5 linked regions of the Danio rerio genome follow. The protein of the gene in region 4 interacts with the protein of the main gene of each other region in a pairwise test. Links are inferred from orthologs where the notes say so. Each region holds a gene or a part of one and is shown on either strand. Other genes may lie near its edges.

Region 1 (6,442 bases), on a different chromosome or scaffold from region 4:
AGTGACTTGACATGCTCATGCTTTTCAGGCAAACCTAGCTGAAAGAATGCCGCGAGTGCATCACGAGTCACATGACAAAAAGTGACTGGTCAGCTTGGAAAATACACATTTCTAAAAAAAAAAAAAAAAAAAAAAAAATTCACTCCAAGACACTCAAAAAATGTGGAAAAATATTTTTAAAATATATATTTTTCCACATTTTTGGAATGCCTCGGACTGATTTTTGCTGTTTATTTTGATGAATCCCTTACCCAAAGAGCACAGACACAACCCCTGAGCACTTTTTGTTTGATTTTGGATAAGTTTATAATATACTTAAATCAAAAGATCCTTTCAGACAGAGGCTCAGCAGCCTTTGACTAAATTTGTTCTCTTTAAAAGGGAAATCCTTAGCTAATATAAATCTTAGATTTACATTAGAATAATAATACTTTTTTATCTTATTTTCATTTATTTATTTATTATTCTGTCATTTATTTTGAGTATACAATTACTTTTTTTAATTACACTTTTTTCATTTTTTTAATGAAACTTTTTTCTTTCTTTTTTTCATCTTCAAGTCTAAAGAGAGACATTGAATATTGTTTGTTTTTTTATTATTATTTTGTGCTGTATTATTTGGTAAGTGAGCAGCAATAAACAACACTTTAAAATATAAGTAGTTTTCATGTGATTTATTAAACTAGTAGTGTTTTAAAATGAATGAATGCATAATAATCCTAATCTCGATTGAAATTGTGATTATTCCTCAGACTGTAATCGTACGATCAACATTTATAATCGTTGCATCCCTGCTCTCGATGTGCTTTTAGCTTTGATTTTTGTGCAAAATAACAAAAAATTAACATTACAAAAAACATGTTAGTGTCCATTTTAACCATACAAGAGTAAAATTCTTAAACCGTTTATTGCTATTATTATTTTTAATATTAAGAAATGCTTAAATGACATTATTTGATTTGAAATTTAGAAGAAAAAAAGAAATGTTTTCAAACATGTACAGACAAATACAAATATAGAGTTTTCAAGGGGTCTCTTTATTTTTTCCCATAGATAGATAGATAGTTAGATAGATATTTATAAAATTTTATATAAGTTTCATTTCAAAAAGTTTATATTTTTGAAATAAACACCAAACAGTATTAATATTTGACTCAGTGAAGAACCAATAAGAAATTTTTGTCCTGAGGTTGACTAAATCATCAGTAATTATTGACTTTAGCCTGTCTATCACTTTAACAACTGCAACATCTGAACATTATTATGAATTATAACCTCTTACCGTGGGTTTTCTTTGTCCTGTTCGCAAATGCACTGTTCAAGTAAGTCTATAAATTTTTGTGGGAATGATGTGAAGTCTATTAAAAGCCCTTGTTGTACTTTTAAGCTGTGAAGAAGAGCAAATAAAAACGATTACACAGAATATAATCACATAGAAGCCTAATAGCAAAGTGTTGAAAATAAATATGGCTCATTGATGAAATGACACTTTTAATACCACAATACCTTTGAAAATCCTCCTCTGATATGATAAGGTTGTATAAAAAGTAAAGATCAGTATCATCAGTCAGCCGTACAACTAAATCCTGTTGATCAAAAATTTAAAAAAAGTTATAAGACCACATAAAACATGCTTAAAGGCATAAATATGGTTGTACACATGTTAATAACAAACCTTTCTGTGAACAGGGCTGGATGGTAACTGCAGTTCAATGCTAACGCGAATAACCGAACGCCTGTAGTAACAAAAACAACATATATAAACACATATAGACCCTTACAGACTTCGAAATGTTAATAATTACAGACAAAATAAAGCCAAAATTCATACCATAAATCAATTTAAGTTAGGCATTGTGTTCAAAAACAAGACAATCAACACAAACCTCTCATCGGTATCTTTACTCTTCACCAGCACCTGCAACCGCTTGTTAAAAAGTAATTCCGTCATTCCTAATTCATTCACAAAGCAACGATAATAATTAAAAATCGTGTAATCCTGTTTTAAAGATGTTATTTAGGTTGTTGAAAGACTCATTTGTTTTTCGCGCTTCACTCCCGCGTTTGTCCGTTTCCAACCGGAAGTGAGAAACACTTCAACCTAATCACGCGTATCATCGTATTTCAACATGTTTTTGTTTTTATAAATCGTATAATATAGATATAAACATTTAAAGCTGTATATACTGTGTAGTTGTGCGTGAATAAAGCTGATAAAATTGAAAACATTTGATATCAGAGTTCACCTGCGCGCGTTGTGATTGGCCGAGAGGTAGACGTCAAACGTGAACCCGGAGTGGGCGGGGCGTAGAGGAGTTTTGAACATGGCGGTGAGTAGCGCAAACGTTTCCACACCGTTCACATTATAAACACTTTTAAGGACAAACGGCGTTATAAACAAACATATAAGCACCTGAATATATCCTACACTCTTGATATTTATGTTGTTACACATTAGGGTGTGCTGGTAATTGTAAATGTGATGTGTGGTGTATTTTTGTGCTAAGCTACGAGTCTGATATTTATTATAGAGGCCTGGAGATTGTTATATAATATGTTTTTGGATCCTCAGGACAAAGACAAGAAAAAGAAGGAGAGTATTTTTGATTTGTCGAAATACATCGACAAACATATACGTGTAAAGTTTCAAGGAGGTCGCGAAGGTGAGGGAGTTGCTTTATGAAATTAATTATGAATTTAAATGTTTCACATTATGATATTTAAATGAATTGTGGTAAATTTGACACTAGTGTTTCCTATTTTCAGCAAGTGGCGTCTTAAAAGGCTTCGACCCGTTGTTGAATCTTGTGTTGGACGGCACCATTGAATACATGCGAGGTAAAATGTGCTAATGTAAACCGAATATGTACCAAATTATGTTCTGCATTAAATTTCTCACAGTATTAATGTTAGTGTGGTTTGTTTTGAACAAATTTTAGTGTAAATGCTGCAATTTAAATTATAAAATTAATCAATTTATTAAATTATAAATTATATAAAGCAACATACAAACTCTTGTGGGTTGACTGATATATAAATGCATCTAAATCAACCCAAAGAGGACATGATGCCATGATATTAAACATAAAAAGGCAGAATGCTCCAGCATAGCTATTTTTGTCAGCATAACAATGTTGCTCCTTACCGTTCAGTTCAGGCATCAGAAACAGTCTCAGCAGATCTTCATTTGGGTGTGTGTGAGCCAGAGGAAATTCTGGTGTTGGTTTGACACATTTAATATGGTTTTCTGAGAGAGTTTAAATGCACTTGAAGTTAAATAGTTCACCCTAAAAAAATGAATACTGTCATTGTTAGGCATGGGCTGGTATAAGATTCTGACGGTTGATAACCTTAGGTTGAAATATCACAGTTACACAATATCATGTTATTGTACATACTGCTCCAAAATATTTTATTTTTAAATGTCTGAGTAAAAAAAAAACTTTTCCCCCATTGAACATGGTTTATATTTTTTAACATTTAAAATATTTTGAAACTATAATGTCAGGCTAAATAATTTATTGTTTATTAATTGTTGAATGTCATTGACTTCTGCTGTCTTAATTAGTTTCAAAAGCACAGATTTCTTTTCAACTTGAAAAGGCATCTTTGGATATCTTTCTTTTCTTTGGATATAAAAAAAATCATCTACACTGTTCAGCTCTACAGCATGCTGGATGTTGGTTTATAAGAGATTTGTTTTTCAGATGTTTCCTGAATCATGGTAACTTGTGATGTGGATGGTCCTTTTCTATTGTTGCCCAAAAAAACTCAATAAAATAGTCGTAAAAAAAAAACTTACAAATACCTTGAGAACGGTATAACAGACAATTTTAACGTTTTTAAAACCTTGACTTTTCAAACCGCGATAAACCTTAAAACAGTTATTGTCCCACGCCTAGTCATTGAATACTCACCCTTTATATGTTTCAAACCTTTTTGAGTTTCTTTCTTCTGTTAAACACAAAAGAAGATATTTTGAAAAATGCTGAAATCTAGTAGTGAAACGGTTAGTTTTCGGATAAACTATAACTAAAAAAAAAACAACAACAGGTAAATAGAAAAACACAGATTGAGAAAGCTGAGACACATATTCCTGAATGTGATAATATGCACCGAAATGTGTCGGGGGACCTGAAAATGTAATGAACCCGACCCTCTGCTTCCTGTTTAGAGGTGGTGGTGTTGTCAAAGAGCTGAGTGTTTTACTTTAACGTCCTAGTTGTATGATTCCCTGGTGTTTGGATAATTTTAGCTTTAAATGCTGACAACACCACTGTCTCTAAAAAGAAAGCTGCCCCAAAGGTCCCCCAAAACATTTCTATGTGCATATTTTGGAAGTTGCATTCACGTTACTAAACTAATGACGATTAATTCTCAGTTTGTAAGTGTTTTTCTATTTGCATGTTTACACTGCATTTGTCCTCTCTAGGGCACCGTATTTAACTGATTAAAAAATGTGTGCATGCACATACAGCAAACAAGTGTATCTAAACATACAGAATTGTTTTGAAAATTTAAAGTCACAGAATCCACCGCGGTGACTGAAGCTCTGCACATGACTTTTGGTCAGCGGAGAAATTAAAATGGTCGTGCCCAACTGAGTCTGGTTCTCTCAAGGTTTTTTTTCTTCACTCCTATCAGGTGAAGTTTTTTTCCCCTCTCCGCTGTCGCCACTGGCTCGCATGGTTCAGGATTGGTAGAGCTACGCATTGATGAATTTGCTCTTCAGTGTTTGAACTCTCAGTAATGATTTTAAATCACACTGAACTGAGCTAAACTGAACTGAACTGAACTTAAACACTAAAATCTGAACTACACTGTTCCGGTTACTATGACCATTAATGTGAAGCTGCTTTGACACAATCTACATTGTAAAAGCGCTATACAAATAAAGCTGAATAAGCTGAATTGAATGTCATAAATGCAGCTGCTTTTCTGTCAAAAATCAGAGTATGAAAGCTTGACAAACTAGGACTATGTATAATTTTTTTGTTTGGTCCAAACAAACTGACTAAACTACAAGTGTTAACACATCCGAAAATACGAAAAAACCCCGCCCTAAGAGTAAAGACATCTGTGTTTGACTATTATCATTATATCAATGGTTTTATATGATTTCTGACCACATTTATTTCCCACACAGATCCTGATGACCAGTATAAACTGACCGAAGACACCAGGCAGCTGGGTCTGGTTGTTTGTCGAGGGACGTCTGTTGTGCTCATCTGTCCACAGGATGGGATGGAAGCTATCCCGAACCCTTTCATCCAGCAGCAGGATGGATAATATTCTCCCTGTGATCCTGTGCAAATGCCTGGTGAAGAATACAGAAGGTTTTTGTTAGCTCGGAAATCATGAAAAGTGTAACATTTTGTATTTACACACAGGATAAATGTTTGTTTAGGTTTTTTAGATAGGATTTTGCTTTGTGTTGAAATGTGTGTTTAATAAGGTTTTGATTTATGAGGCATGTTTTCTGTTCATGAAAAAGGTGTATAATGATGCCCTGGTTCTTTCTATGTTGTTTTATTGCTGACGTTAATAAACACCTGAAATTTACACATTAAGCAAAAACTAAGATTATACCTGTACCTCAAAGGGTGGACCCCACAGGTTTTTCTTTTAAGAAAGCTTTTGTACACAAATGGACATCGTCATTCAGCCAGCTTTCTGAGAACATTGTGTAATCTAGTATTTTGAAGGGCTTTGGTTACTGGACGCCTTGAGAAAACATTCTTGTTTATTTACATGGTGTCTTCTACTGTGTTTTACACTAAAAAAAAAATAAATCCCTAGATTAAAGACTGTTATGGACCCTTCTCTGGGACATGTTTTTCCTTCTGTCGTGACACCTTGGGATTATAAGGTTCAATTTGCACTCTGAGTGGTTTTGAGATATTACGCTTTTTGTGTTATGTTTAAAAGATTATTATGTTTTAGTTATTATAAATAGTTTTTTAAATTAAAACTCCCAAAATATACTCAACATCATTTAAAAAATACAATATATTTATAAAAATATAAGATATACTTATACGATAATAGTTATAACACCAAGCTTTTGTCATCTATCAACTTTATGCAAGGACACTGCAACGCATTTAATGTATCATCTAATTAAGTAAATAAGAAAAACCATGCAGCCTGGTTCACACCAATAACTATAATGCTAAATATTAGCATCCTCACAAACAGGCACTAATGTTTTGTTTCATTATAAGAACAAGCAACGTTTTTATTAAGTGATTCTAATTGGCCATTTTTTATCATTTTGTTTCTGGAAAAATAGTTCTGAAACTGATTTCAGAACTAAAACTGTGATTATTATATTATTTTTTATAATATATAGTCTTTGCTATCCTTTCATATTGAAATTTTAACTATACATCATATTGTCTTTGGTGTGGCCCTTAAATATATGATTATGCTAACTTCAATT
Region 2 (6,563 bases), on a different chromosome or scaffold from region 4:
CCACACATAAAACCTATATGCATTACATGTGTTTGTGTATATATGGCATATATTGAACAAAAGTATAAAGTCTTATATATGGCCAATGTCTTGCGAGCTGAAGCACAAACACAATTAAATTTGTTTAATTGATAATTGTTGATCTTTGAGATTTGATTTTGACTATTCAGTTTGTGTTGAGCAAACGTAATACAGTAAGCTTTATTTTTCATAACAGCATCAAAACAACACCCAGTCAGATGCCTGCTGCTAAACATTGGGAATAAAATATAACATGTTGGAGCATTACAGTCGCTTGCTTTATATATATAAATATGACATTTTATGCTATCAGACCAAAAATTGCAAGTATATTTTCAGTTTCTTTCTGGAGAATGAACTGAGACCTCAGATCTGTCCGTTTCGCTGACTTTTGCAGCAGAAAAATTTTGTTCTTTTTTTCTTGCTTGGGCTTCCTAACCTTTGTAATATGATGTAAAATTTATAATCTGCATTAACTTTTTGTATAACACAGCTAACACTTTTGCAGATAGGCTGCAGTGACGTATCAGCTTTTTTCTTATTATGCACTGACCTTTTTGTCCTTGAACACTGTATTAAATGTACCTTTATGGCTCACATTGTATGAGATGAGTGAATGTACCTCATTTTTCTATTGTGAATATAGATGTTTCAGTTTAGCTGTGCATTAATCTCTGGCTGTGTTTACTTGCGGCTACCTCAAGTATCACCTGCTTTGTCCCAAAATGTGTGATTTTTTTTTTGATTTTTTTTTTTGACTAATGTTTGTCAGAAAATTTACCTCATGTTACTATGTACGTTGAAATTATTTTTGAATAAATTGGTTAAAATATTCTTGTAAGTTTTGGATTTATAACAGGCCCTAAGCCGGGGGGTTGGGTTGGATTAAGGTAAAGTTCGCACATTCGTTCAGTGACAGCTCCATATATTGTTTACCGTGGTACTTTGAATTTTCGGACTGAAATCAGATGTAAATATGACTTTAAAGCAACATTACCAATATTAAATTGACTGTCAACAATGTTGCACTTTGATGGTTGATGGCTGCTAATATGATTTCACTATTTAGAATTTGCAGTGAATACTTCTCTGAAATTATATTATTAAGGAGAAAGTGTGAATGTGCGAATATAAAAATTAACTTTACCTCAATAGGCTTTGAGGGGTTCGAAAGACCTACCCCTCACTAACAAAGGTCCAACATTTGTTCCATATATGAGCTTGTTTGTCTCATTATAATTGCTATGCTTCATAAATTGTAAAAATAACTAAGCAAAAAGGGTCTTAAAACCAATTGTAATCCTCTGTTGGCTGTTGCTGCGGTGTGACTTCAGCTTATCAGTTTTGAACCTTTGATTATTAATAATAATATGTATTCAAATGGGCAAATTCTAACTGAGGACAGTTGAATGAGCTGGCCAAGTTGTTGTTTGCCCAATAAATGTCGCTATAATAGGCTACAGTTTTTAATTTAAACATTAATAGATTCCTTTTTTTTAATTAATATTGGCTGTAACATTTGTTTTTTAAAAATATGTATTTATTTATTTTTCTTTATTCCAAAATTTTAGGAAATATTTTGATTCATCAAAATTGTGGTTATGATGACTATTCGACAGGTTAATTCAGCTAAAGATAGTGCTTAAAATATCACTAAAATGCAGTATATCTAATAATTAAATAGAAAATGAGGCAAATACCTGCAAAAAGGTAAACTTACTTAGAAAAAAGAACCACCCCTTTTACCAGGCTGGCTATGGGCCTGTATAATATTCATTCATTTTCTTTTTGGCTTAGTCCCTTTATTCATCAGGGGTCGCCACAGCAGAATGAACCACCAACTTATACAACATATGCTTTACACAGCAGATGCCCTTCCAGCTGCAACCCAGTACTGGGAAACACTCATACACTATAGACAATTTAGTTTATTCAGTTCACCTATAGCACATGTCTTCGGACTGTGAGGGAAACCGGAGGACACCCACTCGAACACGGGGAGAACTTGCAAATTCCTCAGAGAAATGTCAACTGACCCAGCCGAGAGTCCGAGACTCGAACCAGCGACCTTGTCGATATGTTGTTGTTGTTGTAGTTCATCATCCGCCGGAGTAGAGGGCAATATTACTCAATGGTGCTAGTACAAGGGAAAAATCCCGCGACCCAAAACGTCACTTCCTGCATTTCACTCATTCTCCGAACAACGCTTGAAACGTGATTCAAACGTATTTGTTTGACAAAACTAGCATATCTCACTAAATAAACATGAGCAAAGCACATCCACCCGAGCTGAAAAAGTAAGTATTTCAAGTATTTTCTTGAGTTTTTTAGAAATTTGATATTAAGAAGTATTTAACATGGGCAACTTATTAACGTTAGCCGGTGTGTGTTCAGTTTAACGGCTAAATTACTTTATTTTCACATCAAGCATAACTTATATTGCTAATCCATTTTGATATATTTTATATGAGTTAGCTTTCAGTTTGGTGGTGTATCTATTGTGAATTAAGAAAGTGCCTTTTCCCCTCTTAGGTTTATGGACAAGAAGCTTTCACGTGAGTAATCTTTTAATAACGTTAGATGTTTCTCTTTCCAGTTAAAATATGAATTATAGCTCAATATTAGGGCTGCACGATATTGAAAAAACTATACATTGCGATATTTTCTTTTTTGTAATTAAGTAATTAAATATTTGAAAAGTGGTTTTGTAGGGGAGTGAAATTTAAATATACATTTTAATGTAGTTTCTTATACAAACTAGTCACACACACAATTGGGTAACGTAATTATTAAAGTGAAATAAACCGTCCTTAATGGGTTTCTTGAGAGTCTAACAGTACTCAGTTGGGTTTCCACAGTGTCTTAAATGTCAAAATCCAAAATTTGGCCATTAAAAAGTATTAATTTGACTGAAATATTGTATTGTGTAGGTCTTGATTCTTTTTTTTTTTTTTTAAAGTCATGTGTTGCTACCCAGTCTGGCCATTAACACCCATACAATCACCAACAATCCTCTCAACAAAACCTTAAACTTTTTATTTAAAAAGGTAATTTTTAATCTATTTACCATAATGGTTTAATTATTTTCCATACAATAACATGTGTTTAAAAGTTCTCCATGTATTTACTACTGAGGACACTGAACAGGAGAGATTGTTGTGCATAGATTTAGTTTATTGTAGTTTTTAAAAGTTTTAAAATATTTGTTCTTTTTTTTATTTTAAAGAAAGTTTATGTTGAGGAAAAAAGTGTATAGATACAATTAGAGCTTGCTTGTTTTTACACAATATTTTGCTAAGAAATAAAATCGGAAATATATATATTTTTTTATTATTATTGTATTATTAAATGTATTAAAATATAATAATGTTTTTGATAGGGCAAATAAAAATCTTTTCCATCAGGGCTATTTGAAAAATTCCTTAGCTTTTAGCACTTTATGGGTCTAAAATGTAATTAATAAAGGTTTTATAAACAATTAAATTTAACTGTATAACCTGCAGAAACCCTGATTCAGGTACTGAAATCGAATAATCAAATGTAAAATAGCACTGTGTAGTCTTCACCATACACAAATTTTAATAAAATTAATCTTTATTAAACATTTTCATGCACTACTAATGTTTTAAACTCTCTTCAAATGCTCAGCCACATGCCTTAAAGTGATGATAAACTTTCACTCTATTGTGCTTAAATTCTGCAGTGTCTCCACAAATCTTGTGTGTTTTGACTAGTGGTTTCTGGTGGTCATCTATAATCCTAACTATCGCCTATCTTGCGATGTAACTAATGCAGATGCACACATTTCAATATCATTGCTCAAGAAGTGATATATTGTGCAGCTCTAATATATATTAATATTATTTCAATAAAAACGTTCAATGATGTATTTTACAGGGTCCCCGCGGGTCCTTAAAAAGTCTTAAAATGTCTTAAATAAAATTTTCGATTTTTAAGGTCTGAAAATGTCTTGAATTCTGTAATTTTCCATAAGGAGGTCTTAAATTTCATGTGGGATCTTAAATATCATGTCCGACTCGTCTTATGTCGGCAAATCAATGCCAATATAAATCGAGCGCAGCGGTGATGTTTGCGCGCGAGGAGAAGTGAACCGTGAGCAGATTACAGACACGCGAGAAAACTACAGCTGCAAGCGCACAGGGGATCTTCACGCGCGCGCTCAACTGATCCAGCGCGAGAAAACAAGTCCCGCGCGCGCACATCATCATCTTATGGCAAGCCCAAGAGCTCATAAAAACACTATTAATCAATCGCGTTTACAATTAAAACGCCGCATTAAACGGCGCTAATACCATTTCAAACGCCGCTAAAAACGCCGTTCTGATTGCAAACGCCGCAAATAACGCGCGTAAACCTGTAAAAAACGCCGTTTTTAACGCCGTTTTAGTGTTAGTGAAAAGCGCGGTTTATGACGCGATCCGCTTGCCACAAAACGCCGTTTAAAACGCCGTTTTAACCCCACTGAAACGCGCGTTATAAACGGCGCTTTCCTGAAGTATAATGAGCCACGCCCGCTGATTTCCACAGCCAGTAAGCTTGAGCTGCTCTCACCCAATCAACAATGAACAGAACCAGACAAGACTAATTCACCACTGATCGTAGCGGAAGAAGGGACTCTGAACTGATAGCAAATGCTTATTTACAAAGTACCTTTTACAATAGATCGATTCCACGTCTTTGTGCTTGTAAATGTTCATTTTAGATAGATGGCATCAGAAGAAATGTATTTTTGTAAGTGCCTTGGCAAAAGTGAGCGGGCATGTTATTGTAACCCTTATTTCTGGCTGTTTACAGACCATTCTCTCCAACGTGGGCATCGTAAATAAACGCTGGTTACCAGGGTGATAATTCGTTTCTTTTCTTTAATCTGGAGCATCGACATAACATTCACAAACAACATTACAACAGCATTGCATCTGCCGAATTCCTCCACTTCCTTTTTTCCCTCTCTCTCCTGCTTTCCGGTGCGCCTCCCTCAAAGGAGCCAGAGCACATCAATAACTTTCTCAACTAACACATATTAAACCTTGTATCAGACATATTGAACGTAAATAGAAAATCTTTTAAGTATATTCAATAACATTTTTACAGTTAAGTATTAATTAGCAAAATATAAATTAAAATAATGAATAAAATATAAAGTTACATTGACATAGCAGGTCTGCAAACGCAAACTAACCGACTCAATAGGGCTGCATGGGCAACATCAGTTGAGGGCTAATGCAGATTTTAGCTCCAGCCCATCAAGCACCTGCCAGCTTTAGTGGTCTTGAATACGTTGGTTAGCTTGTTTGGGTGCGTTTGATGTGCGTTATAGCAAAACTCCACAATGCCATCCCTGACAGGCCCTGCCAGGTGCATTTTAAAAGGGCAGACCTTATGACTGATTTTGGACCCTCTTGTTCCTTTCATTTAGGCTATTTATTCACTAATTTGGTATTACTTTGCATTGCTGCCCAAGTTACTGACTTAAGGCAATATACTTTTATAGTAATAATAATGCGCACAGTTTCATTATTACATCAATGAATTAGTGCAACGATACCGTTTATATAAATGCGACTGATCTTTCAGTGCCAAACAAGGGCTTTACATTATTTTCATTCATTCATTTTCTTGTCGGCTTAGTCCCTTTATTAATCCGAGGTCGCCACAGCGGAATGAACCGCCAACTTATCCAGCAAGTTTTTACGCAGCGGATGCCCTTCCAGCCGCAACCCATCTCTGGGAAACTTCACATTATTTTATTCTCCTTATTTATTTCCGTTTTATTTCAAATAATAAATTTTTACAGTTTTAGGTAAAGACGTCAAACTATGCTTGCAAGCTAACCCACGGTTAGACTATTCTATACCGATAAATAAATATAGTGAAATCAGCAAAATCATCACGCTTCACGTACACTGAAAAAAGTGTTCTTGTAGCCGTACCCAACCAATATAAATGAGAAAAAGTTAAATGTTACAATCTAATGTCATTAAAAAAAATAAAAAATAGTAGCTATTTGTGTTAATTAGTTAAATTTAAAAGCATTAGTGTAGACAGAAAAATACATTTAAAAGATAGCTACCTAAATTCACAGTTATTACCGAGAGAATTGGTTAAATTTTGGCATGGATAACACACAACTCTAGACTATATACCTTTTTTTTCATAATTTTAAAGGTAAAAATAAAGATTTATGTTAGGTTATGATAAGTGTGCAGTTGTCCGCTTTGCAAATGTAAAAACACCATCATAAACCATAGGCAGTTTGCATGTTCTCCCTGCGATCGCGTGGGTTTCCTCTGTGTGCTCCGGTGTCCCCCACAGTCCACATGCGTACATGTGAATTGAGTAGGCTAAATTGTCCGTAGTGTATGAATGTGTGAGAATGAGTGTTTGTGGATGGTTGCGGCTGGAAGGGCATCCGCTGCGTAAAAACGTGCTGGATAAGTTGGCGGTTCATTCCGCTGTGGCGACCACGGGTTAATAAAGGGACTAAGCCGACAAGAATATGAATGAATGAATGAACGAATGAA
Region 3 (6,007 bases), about 18 Mb from region 4:
GCAGCTTTAGACTTCTGCACTAAAACCACATGCAAAAATCACACTGGTTATTCTTATTATATATGCATCAGGGAGAACATAACACCAGAAAGAGAACTACTGACAACAACACTTCCCTTTTCAGACAAATATCATAAAGCCTGTTAGGATCCCCCTTGCCCCAATTATGATTCTTGTTACTGTAACAAAAATGTATCACCAAGTATTAAAAGTATGGATCACATATTAGATTTACAGTACAAACATTTTTTTTCCCAAATTCACATACATAGGGTTTTTCACAGTGTATTCACAAAACAATCAAAGATCGGATTCCCAAAATTGTAGGAATAAATGAAATGATATAATACTAAAAAATTTCCATTAATAAAAAATGGAAGTTACATTAATGATTTAAGGACATTATAAGAAACAAGAAAATCAATACACTTATAATTGTTTTGCATATCATCAAAAAGAAACGGATAAAATTAATTTGTTGCTTTTCAGTTACAACTCAATTGTGTACTTTTTTTTGTCATATTGTGGCACCCAGTCAACCCTTTTTTTAATTTTTTTATTTATTTATTTTTTATTACCTAAACTATGTACACATGGAACTATGAGGATGGCATTTTTAGGATCTTAAATGTACAATATTTAAAATACCTTATGTTCTTCTTTCTGTCTTTCGGTTATTTTTTCTCTCATTACTAGTAATAATACAAAAAATAAACAAAATAAAATTCACATCTTTCTAACTATTCATTCATTCTATAATAAATCTGGTCTTAACGGCAGAATATAATCTACCCATTTCCTCCATGTCTCAATAAACTCCTCAGTCTGTAGACGACGGTTCATTGTTAGCCTCTCCGTCTTATAGATTTCATAAATTATGTCAAACCAGTCACTAATTTGAGGTATTTCAAGCGGTAACCATTTTTTGGTTATAGCATTTTTTACAGGCTATCAGCAAAATTTTCAGCAGTTTTTTGTCAGATTTTTCTTCTAACATAGGATTTTTTTAGGCCTAAGTATAAAGTTGAGGAAGAAAAATCGATGGGGATATAGAATATATTTTCTAAATATTTATGAATGTCTTGCCAAAATGCCTGGATTTTTAAACATTTCCAGAAAATATGTGAATGATTTGCTTTATTTGAGCCACATAATCTCCAGCAGACTGCCTTTTTGTATAAATGTGTCTTTTGCTCAGGGATGACGAAAAAACGAATGATGTTTTTCCAACCAAATTCCCTCCAGACTGAGGAGGATGTTGATTTCCACTGTGTTTTAAAAATTATTTTCCACTCTTTCTCAGTAATTTCAATTTATTTTTTATATAATATGTGTTCTCTAATTTATTGTCTTGTAGACTTTTATACAACAAAAATTTTAACTAAAAAAGATGTAGTAGTGTAATGACGATACTGAAAATTGACAAAAAAAAAAAAGATAACAAATAATGAGATTATTTTTATGGAATTGCAGTAATGAGAAAGTAAGAGTATTTTGGGTGACAAAACAAACAAGGAGATATATATTTTGTAAAAATTTTCTGTTAATATAATACATTTACAACTTGCTTTTCAATGTTCTCTGGACATTTTGAAACAAGAAATTACATTAAAAAAACATTAAATGAACATCCAAATCAAATATTTCATGTTTCAGAAATACATCTAACGCGTTCAGAACATTGAGGGTTCATCCCTGTGCCCTAATCATCATGTTCCCTTCTAAGGGGTTTCGAAATGTTCGCTGTTGACATTGTAACATAAGTACATGTTCACTGTTAGATCAATTAATTGCTTTAATAAAAAAAACTTGACAAGTGACAAGTTGAACTTTTAAGGTGACTTAAAATTCAGCAAACTACAGTATGTGAAAAATGTGAAAATTAAGTCAATAGGTTTAACTGTCACCGTCTCGCTACCGGGACACTTAAGATAACTTCACTATATGTCAGTCTAATCCTAATCATGATTCTATCATGAATCATGATGCCTATATCTTCTAAATAAATATTTTACCATATGTCAATACAATATATTTTATAATATGTCACCTATTGGACTGTTTGCAGTTACATTTTTAAAGTCTAAACATAAGTCAGTAATGACAAACTATATATGATTTCAAAGCTTAAAATGTCTATTTTTTGATGGTTTAATTGATTTTAAGGAATTATTACTGAGCAACAGTTATTTATTTATTTTGAAACAGGAGTATTGATCAGAGTATTGATGTCTTAAGAGAATCAATTTTAATGAAACACAACAAAACACTGTCCAAACTGTGTTGAACCCTTTTAAATATAATAAAAATTGTACATCTGTCTAAAATGAGACTAAGCTTATATCTATATAGCAAAGTGTTGAAGATTGGCGTTCATTTAAGTCCTAGGTCTCAAACTCAATACCTGGAGGGCCGCAGCTTTGCACAGTTTTGCTCCAACCCTAATCAAAGATAGCTGATCTAATAATGTCTAGTGATCTTGACAACTTTGACTCGTTGGATCAGCTGTGCTTAATTAGGGTTGGAGCAAAACTGTGCAGAGCTGTGGCCCTCCCGGAATTTGAGGTCTATGAAGTTGAACATGCCATTTTCATGTCTATGTTCAAAAAGTGGGGGTTGCAGTTAAGGGGTTTTAATCACTTTCTACAAATAAAGTCAACTAATGGATTATTCAGAGATCCACCTGAATGTCCAGTACAGTAATGCAGATCCTAAATGAGTAGTACATGTAACAAATACAAGTTAAAATATAACAATAAATAATAAACTCATAAGAAAATAAGGTGTAGTGTTCAGCACTGATGAGGTTTGTCTTACATGTCTCCTTCCAGTCCTTATCCTCCTCCTCTAGTGTGTTTTTGCTGCTCTGCACCTCCTTTAGGCACTGGTAAATCTGCTGTTTCCTCTCCTGCTCCAGCCTCCTCAGCTCCTCCTCAGCCTTACGCCTCTCCTCCTGCTCCATTTTCTGAGCAAAAACAAGCATCCAGAGACCACAAATAAACTTAAAAGGAGAAAAAGGGAACAAAGGGTAACAAAAAAAGCCCCTGCAATAAGTAAAGTATTAGTTTACACAAAATATAAATTCAGTTATTAATTACTAAAACCCCCTGACACCTTTATTAATCTTTAGAATACAATTTAAGGTATTTCAGGTGAAATGTGAAAGCTCCCTCAAACTCCATACACAACAATGGTTTTGACTCGAGCAGAAAGGAACCAAAAGCATCCTCGAAACAGACCACACACCTGCAGTGGTTCATTCAAAATCCTATCATGTCAATTGTGCTCATATAAAACAGGAATAATGTCTTTATTCAACAGTTTCTCTCCTCAGTGTGAGTACAGGGTGTGCACCACATTCATGAGCACTGTGCACTGATGCATACCCTGGATGCCCATGACCAACTTTGAAACAAAGCACACATTTTATGAGAACCTGCACTGTAAAAAAAAAAAAAAGAAAAAGAAAAGAAAAAAGAAAAAAAAGTTGACTCAACTTAAAATTGTACGGCTTGGTTAAAACTTTACAAAAGGTCCAAACATCATCTGTATGTGCTCGTCATGGGATTCTACTGTGCAAAGTAGTCCACAGGGTTCACTGGTCTTAGTGTAAACTGGCTCGCGTGTTCACTGCTACAGATTTAAACTGTGACAAATGTCACTCCGAACCTGCAAATCTACTTCACATGTTTTGGACCTATCCAGCTTCGTTTCCTTCTTGGGAGTCTGTTTTTGATTCATTTTCAGTAATTACATTTATTAAAATTGATCCATCTCCGTTAATTGGCCTGTTTGAAATTATTCGTCAATACACACACACACACACACACACACACACACACACACACACACACACACACACACACACACACACACACGCGCAGGCACGCACACACACACACACACACACACACACATATATATATATATATATATATATATATATATATATATATATATATATATATATACACATACATACACAGTTGAAGTCAGAATTATTAGCCTTCCTTTGGATTTTTTTTCTTTTTTAAATATTTCCCAAATGATGTTCAACAGAGCAAGGAAATGTTCACAGTATGTCTGATAATATTTCTTTTTCTAGAGAAAGTCTTATTTGTTTTATTTTGGCTAGAATAAAAGCAATTATAAATTTTTTAAACACCATTTTAGGGAAAAAATTATTAGCCCCTTAAGGCTATTTTTTTCTTCGATAGTCTACAGAACAAATCATCATTATACAATAACTTGCCTAATTACCCTAACCTGCCTAGTTAACCTAATTAACCTAGTTAAGCCTTTAAATGTCACTTTAAGCTGTATAGAAGTGTCTAGAAAAATATCTATTAAAATATTATTTACTGTCGTCATGGCAAAGATAAAATAAACTAGTTATTATTAGTTATTAAAACTATTATGTTTAGAAATGTGTTGAAGAAATCTTCTCTCCGTTAAACAGAAATTGGGGAAAAAAATAAACAGGGGGTCTAATAATTCAGGAGGAAATCATGTTTTTTTTTATTTTTTCATAAATCACACTTTGATTATATACAGCTACACAGCTAACATGAAACAGACTGATATTTCCTAGTTCCTCTGAAAGGCCCTCTGATTCCCTCTGCAGCGATTCGTGGATCAGCTCCACGTCATGCCCGTACAAGCATGCGCTTTTCTGCTGTGTAAACAGTCAGTCAACCTCCTGCCTGCTCTCTAAAATAAAATCTGACATGTGTCTGTAACGAGTGAAAATGGGGTGCGACTCATTTAAGAGACATCGCTATTGCGTGTGTCTGTGTGAATGTGTGAACTTTCTGTATATGTGTGTAACATTTATGCGGGACTTTCTTTTTCTTTTTCTCTGATGCTCGGATTAAGTTATTTTCTGTAATATATCGTCACACTGTTTACAGAAGAATAAAACACAAGATGTGGGATGAGACCTGTGTGAGCCTTGATTTATTTTTCTGCTGCTATGAGTCAGGTGAGCTATTGTGTATTTTTTAACTCAACGCGTTACACAACGTCTTTCACATATATCCGGAATATGCAGGTGTAAGTAATATGAATCATCCACATATCTTTTGCAACTTCTTAATCTGAGATGTGAAACGCATAGAAAAGCTGCCTAAAGAGAAACAATGCAAAGTCGTGCACACACATAGAGAAAGGCTGCACACGCCGGTGAAGTATGTGTGTGTGTGTGTTTACAGCAGTTTGACTGATAAATATGAATTTGTAGCTAAATCATTTGTGGTGGAAAACAGCATTACCCATTGTTTACATCGTTGCTACAGCATACCGTTAACACTAGACACTGTACATGTCATGATCCATTTTAACAAATAAAAACACTTACAGGTTGTAGTTCACAGCTTCTGCTTTGAGGAGATTTTAACCGAATCCAGCACTGAACTAGGAGAGATTCTGGAGCTGTGTTTTGTCAAATCATGCTTGCTGTGTGTTTTATAATTCTCTGGAACATAATTAATATTGAACTGTAAGCACTTCTCTTTGTGTCGTGTCCTTTGGAAGCCCAAATACAGAAACAGAAGAAGTTCTGTGGAAATAGCAGCGTTTGGACTGCTTTTTAGCTCTCTCTGCTGTAACGTTACAGCGCCTCTGGCCACAGCCCTTAGCTGTGTGTGTGCGGTAAAAGTACGTTTGTGATCTCACAAGGCCCGCAAGCATTTTTTTGTAGTCCCCAAAATTCGTTCATTGTAGGCTTTGCTAAGCTAACTCTGTAAAAACCAAGGTCTCCCTTTGCATTGAACTTTGAGCTTTTAACATTCACAGATGCTGTTTATGTTTACACAGCTACATTACACATCAACTAAAGTTTAAAATATAATATCATAGTGGACCACCCCTTTAATAAATTGTATTGAAAACATTCTAAAAGAAGCTTTTTGTAAATATCCGCTTGATAATTTTATGTACCATATTTAAGTAATCTTTAGGGACTAATTTAATAAGACTAAAGGCATAATATGTCAAATAACTTCGTTAA
Region 4 (6,007 bases):
CTATTTCAAAGAGAATCGATCGCAGCAGTTGCATTTCCATAAGGCACGGTTGCTTCGTGCAAGTAAACGGGGGCGTGCACGCTTTTTAAAAGTCGCGCGTATCACAACACCTGTGCGCGCAAGTGATCATCCTCTCATTCTGTATTCACCTGCTTTCTTTTGCTCACGCGAACAGTTTTTTTGTCAGTGGTGCTGCTTCTCGATTCTAAGATCACATTTGCACAAATATTTAGCCATCCTTATTGTCGAATCCTGCTTTTAATAGAACTGCAATTTAAGCGTTACTTTCAACCAGCCAAAGTGGCTGGTGGGAGTGTCTGTCTAACAGCTTACTCGCATTTGGTGGGTTGATAGCTGTTAATATCAAGCCCTATGTGTGTATGTGTATATATATATATATATATATATATATATATATATATATATATATATATATATATATATATATATATATATATATATATATATATATATATAGATGTTGATGTGCCTGCAAATGTGTTTAAAGCTAAAGCTTTAGCATAGGTGCTGCAGTCACACCTGTGGGTGTGATTAAAAATGCTAAATTTTGCTAAAATAATAAATATATTTAACATTTAAACTCCATTATATCCCATATAACCAGTATCATCAGCATTAGGGTGGCCAGTCAGCCTATTATCTAGATTTTAACACTTTAAATTCATTGGCTAACCACTCAAAAAATAGTGATAGTCATTCTATTCAAAACAAACAACCTACCATACTTATTTACAATCTACAAACCGATAAGTGCTTGATAATAACACTTCAGTGAAAATACCAATCTAAACTACTAATCTGCTAATCTGATGGTTACAGTGAAAGGGTCATACTTAAAAATCGTTACAAAACGCCCATGGTCTAAATCAATACTGTCTGCCTGAACAGTTTGAATACAATAAAATAAGACCTTCTGCCCTAGTTTGTTTGGAGGACTGATACTGCACGTGGTTCGTAGCCACAGGGCAGTTCAGCCTTCAGCAAAGCTCATGACATGCAATGGGACAGAAGAGGTTACAGTCATAGTACAGGAAAGGAGGGCAGGAGAGGATACTTACAATAGAAAACAGAGAAACCGCACTTGCTCAGTGGTCCTGAGGACGGTATGACAGAGGGAGGGACGGGGAGGGAGAAAGCAGACACAGAGAGGAGGGGATGTGGAGAGGGACGTGCCGTAAGACATTAGAGGGCAAAAACGAAGCATGAAAAAAAATTAGGTAGGAGTGAGATCAAGCTTCCTGGCTTCCCAAACAAATAGGAGCTGGTTAGTCAATGCCATAGTTTAGTGAAAAGTGTACAGCATGACAGTGTAAATATGACTGCCATGACATTTTTGACAGTAAACTGTGATATTGGGCCATGTGAAAGATGTGTGATTAGACTATCAGTTGAGATGTAAAAAAAAAACAAATAGAACACCAACAATAAAATAAAAACACAAAGTGAAAAGAATGTAACATGTTAGTGGATGCAAACTGCTCGCCCTTGCTAATTTTAGGCACAACAGCTAGCTAGGAACACAACACAAAGCCACAGATAAAACATACAACAGCTTTTATGGGTGTCTGTCAGGCATAATCACTCACGTGAGGATCCTGTCTTTGCTTTTTTTCGGAGACTGTCCAGCTTTCTTACGCTGCTCTGGAGTTCCGTCAGATTTGAGTTTCTCTGTTAGCTTCTCAGATGTTGGTTTAACAGAGTCACTTCCACCTAAAGACTTTGATGACTTAAAAGGGTCAACAGAGTCATCAAATGTATCTGGGTCAAAACTATACGATCCTTTAGGAAGCGTCGGCGAGCTGCTAAGTTTTTGTTTCCCACCAAATGGATCAAAGTTGGGATCGTCCCACTGATTTGGGTCAAAGTTGTAGGATTTTTTAGGAATAGGAATATCATCAACGTTGATGAGATCCGCGTTTTCAGGTGGTTGTTGGCTTTGTTCTGAGGATGTCTCTGGTAGTGGAGCTGCAGTTTCTGCAGCTTTTGGGCGCAGTTTTTTTGGAGTAGTCAGCTTGCTGCTTGTCTTTTTTCCAGACTTTTTGGGTGGGTCTGTCTTGACTTCAGTATCATCAAGTCCAAACTCAAGCAAAACTGGCTGTGCAGGCATTTCATCCATCAACTCTGATTTAGGAATACTCGCATTGGCAGGTGGAGAATTCTGCAACTTGGACCCACCAGTTGGAAATGGATTCATGGTTTCATTAACCTGATCAAGGTCAAAGTTATAGCTCCCCTTCGGAAGTATCGGAGGATCATCGTCCACCTCGTTGGGGTCAACACCATTCAGTGGGGACTTCACTTGGAGAGAAGGAGGTCTAACCTTGAGAGACTTGGTCTGTGGTTTTGATGATGGTTCCTCAATGTGACCATTGCAGATATTGCTGTGTTCTGTTGCACCTGCATCATCAGGATCAGGCTGGTCCACATCCATGTCAACAGATGAAAGCTGGTACTTAGGTTTCAGGGTTGGGGTGGAGTCCAGACTGCTCTGCCGCAGGACTGTTGCAGGTGCATCCTCAGCAAAGCTCTTTTCCAAGGTCAGATTCTGAGTTTTTGTTGTGATGGCAGTCAAATGATTTACATATTCTTCTGAGAAACCTGTAGAAAGTAGAAGAGGTATACTTCATATCACAGTCTAGATCATTTATAGAATTATCTTGTTGAAATATGGCAATAATATTTTGCAATATAGTACGTTCGCCTAATATACTATCAGGGAGTTTTCACTTTTCCTTTCATATATACTTAGAGCACATACTATTTGCTCTATTGTTCAACCTATAGGATATTTGAAGAACAGACTTCCTTACGACAGAAAAGGCAGGAAATGCTTCTGACAGGATGCAAAGAGCTGAACAATAGTCCTCTCTTCCCTTTCTTAGGCATAAAAATGCAGCAGCACAACTTTAGGCAACAATCAACGACAAAAGTAGTCTAGATGTTTCAACACACCCATTTCAGATGTACTAGAAATAAGACATGGCCTTTCTGTGTCATGACACTGCCTCTATACAACTTCAGTTGTAGTAACTATGTGTGAAATTGTGTCAGCACTCTTTCAGTAGCCATTATAACACACTTCTCATTGACAAACAGTCCCACTGGCAGTCATCGCTGGGTTTTGATGCAACAGCCTGTTGCTAAGAGACAGGAAGAGATTTATTTATAAATGAGATCTATGACTTTGCACTGACCTCAGATTGAGACGTACTAGCTGCTATCTGTTCTAAATATTTACATGCAAGAAAGAACATGTCTAGTGATGAGGAGAATGTTTCTCTAAGCTAAATAAGTCTAAATTCAGTTAGTGCCCCAACACATTAATCTTGGTGCTGATGGGTGTGACATGAGTTTGGGTTTGTTCGAGGGATATACTATAGAGGTTGAGGGTCAGGGTTGGTAACCAAAAGGTTTTAGGACTGATCCCAACAAGATTGTACTTTTAACTACTGAACAGACTAGCACAGACTGCTTCAGGGGATTGACCTGGAGTAAGTTGTTTAGGGTAGTCCTTCTCAAAAACTCTTAGAGGCCTAGACCCATTGCATATTTTACACGTCTATCTTATCTAAAACCAGTAATTCAACTCATCCTCCCACTAGTAAACTGCTGGAAGATCTGAATTTGTTGTGATTGATGATGGAAGATACACAAACTGTGCAGTAGTGAGGGTCCCTAGGACAGAATTGCGAAGACTGTTTTATGGTAACACTGCATGAAAATTGCTTTAATGCAACTTTAATGCCAGCACTGTCTAAACTGTCACACATTGGTATCTACCGTACATCCAAAAAGAAGAACTTGAGCTTTACCAACTACCATTTTAGGGAACTTGCTTTACATGTACAAAATGAACACAACTGTAGCCTTCAGCACAATATTGTTATCACAAAATCCCATCCACAGACCTTCCAATAGTTGGTCTACACCCAATCTTCCTCCTGCTTTCGCCAAGTTTTAACTTTCTTTTCCTCTTTGTGTCTTTTCCTCCACAGCTGGCACTACACTGTCCTTCGCTGTTCAACGAGATATCAGGCTGCCCTTCTCATCGAGGACATAAAAACATTCAGTTCAGCACTTTTTAAAAGTCTCTGGGGTTGCTCTTGTCATCACGTCCAGAGGTCAAGGCTCCTTGGTATCTGCGTATAGGATAGTCTACTTTGGAAAACAAAACGTTTCGACAAACCTCCACAAGTGGCAGTCATGAAATTGATTTCCATTTGAAGAGGTGCCCCTTAGTTGGGATCTTGTCCTGTGCTCCCCATGGGTCAAATGCAAAGCACTCTGGCAATAATGTTTGTATAGAATGCACACTTCAGTCATCATTACAGATTACAGAGGCAGGGGCTCAAGACCCCTGATCCTTTCAGTCTCTGAAAGCTATGGTTGGCATGTGAACATGCGAATCATCAGGCACAATGTGAACGGTTATGCAACCAGTGCTAGTAGCCGTGACTAGAGCTTCCTCTTTGTGGTGGGAGTGTTATGCCTTGACCATGTTTATTTCATCAAAGTGAGCAGGAATTGCATCAGTCTGCATGAACTAACACAACACAAATGCTTCCATCTCCAACCCAATGAGATACTTGTCAGAATGGTTTGATTATATAACAATGGTAAAAATAATAAGAACACTTATCCCTGGCAAATATATAATGCTGTCACATATATTAATGAATTCAGTCTTAAAGAACAATAACAATGACCATGTGCATGACTGAGCATTATGGTTAGGAAAGGCAATTCTACAGTAAATAATGCATATTCTCTATCGTCTGAAAGAAACTAATGTCTGACTAAGATGCAGCAGGATTTAGTGCCTTGGGAAGGGACAAAAGAAGCCTTCTGTTTACATAACCACAAATTCTGGCTAAAGCGCTGCTAGCCATGAAAACGTTTATTCCAGACAGCTAGCACTGGAGTGTGTCTGTACTGCTGAGAGGATGAGGATGTCTGTGGTGGAAACTGGATTGTGCGCAGCAGGAGCCAAACTTTTACTGTCGGTCTGCTCAAGCAATCCAAACCACGACACGTAGGCTTGGAAAAACTGCCTTTTTTAGCCTGAAGTATGCTGCAAATCACAACAAAACTTTCTCAAAAACTTGGCATTTTAGTTTTCTAGATGTAAACTAAAAGACAGCATTAGTAAATTAGAAAAATGGTGAGCTAGCAAAATTTCAATGAGTTCAAATGTGTGTGTCAGTGTGTCTGTGTGTGTCATTTAGAGAAAAGATCTAAATCACATGATGTTCGTGCCTGCAAGCCTTTGACCTTGTCCATTGATAAAAGTGCTGTGAGTGGAGCGAATGCTTTTGTTCAATTCCAAACTCTTGAATTCCAAGCTGTGCGCTTTTCCCACACTGGGTCAGGGGCCTCTCTTTACCCAAAACTCTATTTTCCAACCTCAAAACCTCCTCCACTTAAGTAACTAATACTGTTTGCACTGTTTTGATTCTAGCTGAGGCCAGATTGTGTCGTCCTGCTGAATCTCTGTAACGTAAAACACAGAAACTCATCCACAAAGAGCTTCACTCAGACTCTAAAATAAGATTTCAAAATGCGAAAAAAAATAACAAGATACACATGTTTTCATGTACATGCATATGGTAGAGACGAGTCAGATTTAAGTGTGTTTATGGGATTTTAATGGGCAGAAAAACGCCTCAAAAAGAGTCTGGAGACTTGCAGCTGTTTTCAGTTAGTTATATGGTGCACTGCCCTGAAATTGGACACATGTCTGAAGGTGGAGAGGAAAATATAAAGAAAACAAGCTTTTCTACAAACTTTTCTAGATAAGGAAATGGAACTGAAATCTGCTGTCAAAATCGAGCTTTTATTTTACAGCCTGTTGAGGCCTTATACTGTAAATCACAGTGGCTAAAGCATAAACAACTCATTCTTCTAAACAATTTTATCTTTTTTTTATATTTGATTTGTTATAATGAAAGATTTTGGGGCATGAAGAAATGTGTATGATTGATTATTC
Region 5 (6,007 bases), on a different chromosome or scaffold from region 4:
AAGACATATGGAATAATGTGTAAAAAAAAAAGTACAACTTCTATTTTATAATTAGATTTAAATGTAAAAACTGCCTTTTGAGCAATTTACCTGTTAGCATAAAACAGTTTGCAGAGTGTTTATTTTATTCAAATATAAAAGTAAATAATTGATTAATATGGCCTTTGTTATTAATTCCCTTTATCATTATATTAATGTAAAAAATAATAGTGCAGCTTCATCTATACTTTACAGCACAGGTGTCAAACTCAGTTCCTAAAGGGCTGCAGCTCTGCACAGTTTAGTTCCAACCCTAATTAAACACACCTGATAAAACTAATTGAGTCCTTCAGGCTTGTTTGAAACCTACAGGTAAGTGTGTTGGAGCAGGGTTGGAACTAAACTGTGCAGGGCTTCAGCCCTTTTGGAACTGAGTTTGACACCCCTGCTTTACAGCATTAGCTGTAATAGGTCAAGAATTTAGTTTACAACTGAATTCATATAAAGACAATATCTTCAGTAAACCTTTGTTTAAAAAACAATGTTGTAATGTAATTTCAAAACAGATTTACACACTAAGGGGTGCATCAATTACAGCAATCAAAAGATAATTTGTTTAAGGATACAGGGCAGAGATCCACTGGCTGGTCGAGGCACTGACAAAGAAACAGGACAGGCTCCACATGGCCATGGCGACAGGCGTTCTCTGTGTGAAATTGGACAGTGAGAGCAGGACCCAATCCCGGACCATGGAGGACTGACCAGTGGCATGAAGCGTCTGAAACACCTGTAGTAAGAAGTACAATTTCAGTATCATCCAGCGACTATTTTAGCTTTTATTAATAGTTGAATTTTTATTTTGTTTTCATTTTACTTTTAAAGTTTTAGTAATTCTAGTGGAGTTTTTTTGTCATATTTATTGTCACATTTATTCCAATTTATAGTTGAATTTTTTATCGAGTTATAATTAAAGAATATTTCCGTGACAACTGCCTGAATACAATAATTATTTATTTATTCACCAAACATTTATATTGTTTAAGCATTAACTTTGGCTACACTGACTTCTTGTAGCTCAACTAGTCACAGTTTGATTCCCAGGGAACTGATCAAATGTGTAATTTGTGCCTAAATCAAAAATCAGAATCAAAAAAAATATGTAACTTGTATACAGTGTTGTTTTGGATAGAAAATGCACACATATAAATGTAAAAATATCTGTGTAAGCAGTGCTTCATATATCACTACACTATGATAACAGACAACTGAACTGACCTTTTTATAGATTTCCCTGATATTTTGCTAATATGACCAAACCTTTACAAACAAATTCATTTAAGATCACAGAGTGCATAAAGCATTACAAAAGACATCAGTGCCTAAAATATGGCACTTGCCTTGTAGACCACTGTAGCCATGAACTGTGGGTAAGGCTGCTGATTGGACAGGAACTCCCCAATGACTTTGTTCATAACATCCTGCAGTGGGAAAAAGTCATCCAGGAACTGAGGAAGGATCCTGGCCACAACACGTGCCTCACTCGGAAAACCTTTGCGAATCCTGGCGCAAGAAATTGCCACAGATTAGGCAGATATATTGTGATGAATCACTGGAACAAAAATATATGGTTAAACATACATACCTGTCAAACAGAACAGATACACGCTCCATTGCGACGATGACTGACTCGCTGTCAGGAGCTGTGGGGTCTGCATCAGCAGGACGTCCAGGACTTCCCTTCTCCTTTCCTGTAGTGTAAAATGAGGGCCATCATTAAGAGGAACAGTTTGGTTTCTTTACATTCCAAATAAGAAAAATCTCAGTTTTTTTACAAAATAATAAGAACATTAATATGCGTAAGTGATTAGTTCACTACCAGAATGAAAATGTCCTGATGATTTACTACCCACTTGACATCCAAAATGAATTCAATTTAGTCCTTGAAAATGATTTATGGTTTTTGAGGAAAACATAGAGCATCATTCACCATATAGTCGACTTTAGCGGTTTTCGGTGGTTTCAATTTGCAAATTGCAGTTTCAGTGCAGCTACAAAGGGCTCTGAACAATCCCAGAACTAGAATAGATCGTCATTTTCTTAAAAGCATAACAATCCATGTACTTTATAACAAAAAAAGAACCTTATTCCTTAGCTGGGATAACTTAAAATACTTCAAAGCTACATTTAAAGTTCAAATAATTTACTACCAGAACATTTCCACAGTATAGAGAAAACACTGGAAGAAAATCTATTTGTTTAGCAACTGAAGAAAGAAAGAAATGATTTTGGATGACTAGCAGGAGCGCAAATTTATCACATTTTTCTGGAAGTGAACTAATCACTTAAAACAACCTTAAACATAAAGCACTTTCTTAAAGGAACACTCCAGTTTTTCTTAAAATAGGCTTTTTTTTTTTTTTTTTTACAAATCCCGTAGCTGAGTTTTACCATTTTGTGAATCCATTCAGTTGATTTCAGAGTCTGACAGGAGCACTTTTAGCTTAGCAGAAATCACTGAATCGGATGTGCCCATTAGCATCTCGCTCAAAAATGGCCGAAGAGTTTCAGAAGATTTCCTATTTAAAGCTTGACCTTTTGCAGTTACATAGTGTACTGAGACTGACAGAAAATTAAAAAGATGCTATTTTCCTATTGCTAGGAACTATACACAGATTTGAAGGTGCAGGTGTACGGCTTAGTGCTGGGGTCTTTTTTTCCAGGCACTGCGTAATTTTTATCGTGCCTGCTGCAGCCAGTGTACAGCAGCATAGTTTCTTGAACATTATGCTGGAATGATAGTATTGTTCCTAGTCATATCGGCCTAGAAAGGTGCAACTTTTTATTTTCTATCAGTTTTAGTACACAACGTAACTACAGAAAAGTCACGCTTTAAACTGGAAATCCTTAAATAGAAACTATCAAACTTAAAATATTTTTAGGCCAGATACTAATGGTCAAATGGCTAAGCTAATAGTGCTCTCACCAGACATCAGCTGAATGGATTGAAAAATGGCAAAACTCAGCTGTTTAACTCTAGAGAAGCTGTAAAAATACCTAATTATTATTATTATTTTTATTTTTTTGAAAGTGGAGCGTTGTTTTAAAGAACTCATTCTGCTGCTATGTGCTCTGTTAGTAAGGTGAGTATCTATAAATTGAGCCTGCTCTTATGGCTGCTACTGTTAGTAGGGTGGGTCAGTATTGAAGATGAAGCTGAAATGTGTCCTGCCTTCCTCTCCAGCCACACCTGTGTACATGCAGGTGAGCATGAGACCCAGGGCAGCCATGGCGCGGTGTGGACTGGGCATGTTCACGCGGTCAACGCTGAGCTTGACCAGTGTCTCTGCATCCATGCGTGAAAGCTGCTCAGACAGAAGCAGCCGCTCCAGACCTCGCAGGACGCAGTGGTAGATGATGGACGGTGTGGCCTCCTCGCTCGCGGACAGAATCATGCAGCACAGCTGGATATGCAGAGAAGGTAAAATAGAAGAGAGAGAAGGGTCAATGACAGAGTGTCAAAGATAAAGAAGAGAAAAAATTTGTAATCATTAGTTTAATGTTCAAGTCCTTCATTCTTAGAAATGTGTCTTTGGATTCATATCGCTTTGAAAATCTGTATTACATTCTTACCTCATGTCCAAACAGAGTTAAGAAAGCATAACGTTTTTTTTTTTTATTTGTTAGACAGGATGCTTAATATGATGAAAATGTGTACACAGACAGTTGTGTACAGATATTTTACCTCTCTTGAAGGTCTTTTCTTTGACCAGAGTTTTGGCAATCTCATGCCAAGTGTTACAACTAGGGATACAGAATCTGAGCACTTTGAAATCCACAGATGATTGAGTCTATTCATTTTCCTGTGTAAATTGATATTCATCCAGTAATATTATTGACTGATATGAAAATGTCCATATGATTTATTTACAATACAGTTTATAAAGTAATACTTTCTGTCTTTTAGTAGATATATTATATGGGAGACTTGCTTTGTTTACCAAATAAGTGGATCCAATTGCATTTGCATTGTAAAAATTTTATTCAAAGTTAAAACCATATTATTTTTTTTTTCATATATGAAGTTTTTAGTTATGATGCTTTAAAAGTCAGTTATTTACAAAATTCTCAGCAGAAATAGCAAAAAATGTCCGCAGATTCCATCTGGCCCTAGTTATAATGGTTATAACCCATATAAATATCTGTTTTATGCTAAGTTGTATAAATGTGGGTACTTTATAACTTCTGTGAATAAGGTTGCTGCTTTGTTTACAAACCAATTACTGTAAAAATTAACAAATAAATATGAAAAAAAAAACTGTCCTACAGATTATGCATGGTTTTTATGAAGGGTGACAAAATGTCACTGCAAGCATCCTTCAGGTTTAAAAAGATAGTAATAATAGTAATCATAAATCAATAAAACCATTTTCCTTACAGCTTTAAATAAGGTGAGCATACACAATTATTTAAAAAATGTTTTGCTGTTTTTTTACATTATGGATATATTAATGACATTAAAATTAGAATTTAATATAAAGAGGATTACTACAAATTTGTATTTATTTATTAAAAGCCCATGAGAGATAGAAGCTAACAAAAAAAGCATTTCTAAAAAATAAAAAAATATAAGTAATTTGTTTTCTGAAATGTAAATCTGTCCCTTGAAGCTTTCAGATATTGTTAATTACAGAATATTACATTATATTATAGAACTCAAGTCAATATCACTTATCTAATAACACTTAACCTAAGATTTGTGTAAATAAGTTAAATTATGATATAATCTCTGTTTCATTTAGTGTTTTCAGTAATTCATTTACTTATTGACTATATGTAAATGAAAATATGAATAAAATATTTAATAAAGTTATTTTTAGAAGATTGTTTCTTTGCTTCAATAATATCAAACTATCTATTTATATATATATATATATATATATATATATATATATATATATATATATATATATATATATATATATATATATATATATATATGTATTATTTATTTTTTTTCATTATGAAAATTAGTTTTTTTGTTGTTGATTTGACGTCACATTTTAGAAAACATTTTATGCATGATTCATCAATTTATAGATTAAACAAAAATAAATAAACAAACAAACTGGACATTGAAAGTATATAGATTAGACATATGTTATTCCTGTAATATTTAATATTATTATTTTATTTTTTCTTTCTCTCAAAGTGTATTAAGTTATTTTAAGTTTTATATGTTATTCTTGTTGTATTATTATTTTTATGTAAACCTACAATTTTAACCTTTTTCAATTTGTATGACTGTTTAAAGTAATAAAAATTGTGGTTTAAAAAAATTAACAAACAAACATCTCATGTCAACCCAATAGTCATCCAGAAACCGCTCATATGGATTACAAAATCAAACTGATCTATTAACAGATTATAATTTTATATATTAACACATTATAATGTGGTCTCCTCCCACCTGAATGATGCCGGCGTTGAACTCAGAGCCAACATCCAGCGGGTAGTTCTCCATCATGTAGAAAGCCACGGCGCACATCACCAACACATGCTGCTGGTTGTGCAGATTTACACAGCTGAAAAAGAGACACACACACATAAACAGCATTAGTCCTAAACACACTTGCGTATTTTCAGCGAGGCGATCTGATGCTAATTCTAGCGCTGGTCTTTAATGAAGGATCTCAGATCTCAGTAAGACACCATACATTACAGCTAATGAGGAGCTGATGACCATGCAGCGTGCCGTGTGTGTTGTCATTCCCTGTGTGAACATATTATTGAGTCTACCAGCATGCCACAGAGACTTTGGCATTAGCTTTGACTGCATGGGGCTTAACCTCTTAAGAGATGTGCTAACAGTGTGAAGCCTTTCATCCTATATTCTCTTAAATGAAACGGCAAACACCAAGAGTTTGTGCGAGACTAATGAGTGGTCGCCGTTGGCTGCTGTAGGGAGTGGTGTGGTGGTGGGGTTAAAGCTCAGGGCTGCTAAGAGAAAGGTTAGTGAATTCAGTCCACA

Evidence for each region.
Region 1: the proteins of tacc1 (region 4) and lsm7 interact in binary tests that used the Homo sapiens proteins (3 or more experiments, as listed by UniProt). The link is inferred for Danio rerio from reciprocal best matches to the Homo sapiens genes TACC1 and LSM7.
Region 2: the proteins of tacc1 (region 4) and snrpg interact in binary tests that used the Homo sapiens proteins (3 or more experiments, as listed by UniProt). The link is inferred for Danio rerio from reciprocal best matches to the Homo sapiens genes TACC1 and SNRPG.
Region 3: the proteins of tacc1 (region 4) and sh2d4a interact in binary tests that used the Homo sapiens proteins (3 or more experiments, as listed by UniProt). The two-hybrid records come from large-scale screens. The link is inferred for Danio rerio from reciprocal best matches to the Homo sapiens genes TACC1 and SH2D4A.
Region 5: the proteins of tacc1 (region 4) and htt interact in binary tests that used the Homo sapiens proteins (3 or more experiments, as listed by UniProt). The link is inferred for Danio rerio from reciprocal best matches to the Homo sapiens genes TACC1 and HTT.

What each region holds. Positions count from the first base shown.
Region 1 is NC_133197.1:10,400,097-10,406,538, forward strand, and holds lsm7 (U6 snRNA-associated Sm-like protein LSm7), read left to right. Parts: upstream 1-2,309; 5' UTR 2,310-2,324; coding exon 2,325-2,330; intron 2,331-2,572; coding exon 2,573-2,663; intron 2,664-2,766; coding exon 2,767-2,838; intron 2,839-5,146; coding exon 5,147-5,289; 3' UTR 5,290-5,822; downstream 5,823-6,442. Other genes in the region: sass6 (spindle assembly abnormal protein 6 homolog), read right to left, coding at 1,283-1,387, 1,507-1,586, 1,676-1,736, 1,887-1,951. UniProt on the Homo sapiens protein: Plays a role in pre-mRNA splicing as component of the U4/U6-U5 tri-snRNP complex that is involved in spliceosome assembly, and as component of the precatalytic spliceosome (spliceosome B complex).
Region 2 is NC_133198.1:36,914,098-36,920,660, forward strand, and holds the start of snrpg (small nuclear ribonucleoprotein G), read left to right. Parts: upstream 1-2,169; 5' UTR 2,170-2,286; coding exon 2,287-2,318; intron 2,319-2,553; coding exon 2,554-2,576; intron 2,577-6,563. UniProt on the Homo sapiens protein: Plays a role in pre-mRNA splicing as a core component of the spliceosomal U1, U2, U4 and U5 small nuclear ribonucleoproteins (snRNPs), the building blocks of the spliceosome.
Region 3 is NC_133185.1:7,472,528-7,478,534, forward strand, and holds part of sh2d4a (SH2 domain-containing protein 4A), read right to left. Parts: intron 2,966-6,007; coding exon 2,818-2,965; intron 180-2,817; exon of another isoform or gene 20-179; coding exon 1-19. UniProt on the Homo sapiens protein: Inhibits estrogen-induced cell proliferation by competing with PLCG for binding to ESR1, blocking the effect of estrogen on PLCG and repressing estrogen-induced proliferation. May play a role in T-cell development and function.
Region 4 is NC_133185.1:25,344,608-25,350,614, forward strand, and holds part of tacc1 (transforming acidic coiled-coil-containing protein 1), read right to left. Parts: intron 2,620-6,007; coding exon 1,608-2,619; intron 1,116-1,607; coding exon 1,080-1,115; intron 1-1,079. UniProt on the Homo sapiens protein: Involved in transcription regulation induced by nuclear receptors, including in T3 thyroid hormone and all-trans retinoic acid pathways. Might promote the nuclear localization of the receptors.
Region 5 is NC_133176.1:44,387,045-44,393,051, forward strand, and holds part of htt (huntingtin), read right to left. Parts: intron 5,562-6,007; coding exon 5,447-5,561; intron 3,441-5,446; coding exon 3,209-3,440; intron 1,728-3,208; coding exon 1,622-1,727; intron 1,540-1,621; coding exon 1,377-1,539; intron 767-1,376; coding exon 606-766; intron 1-605.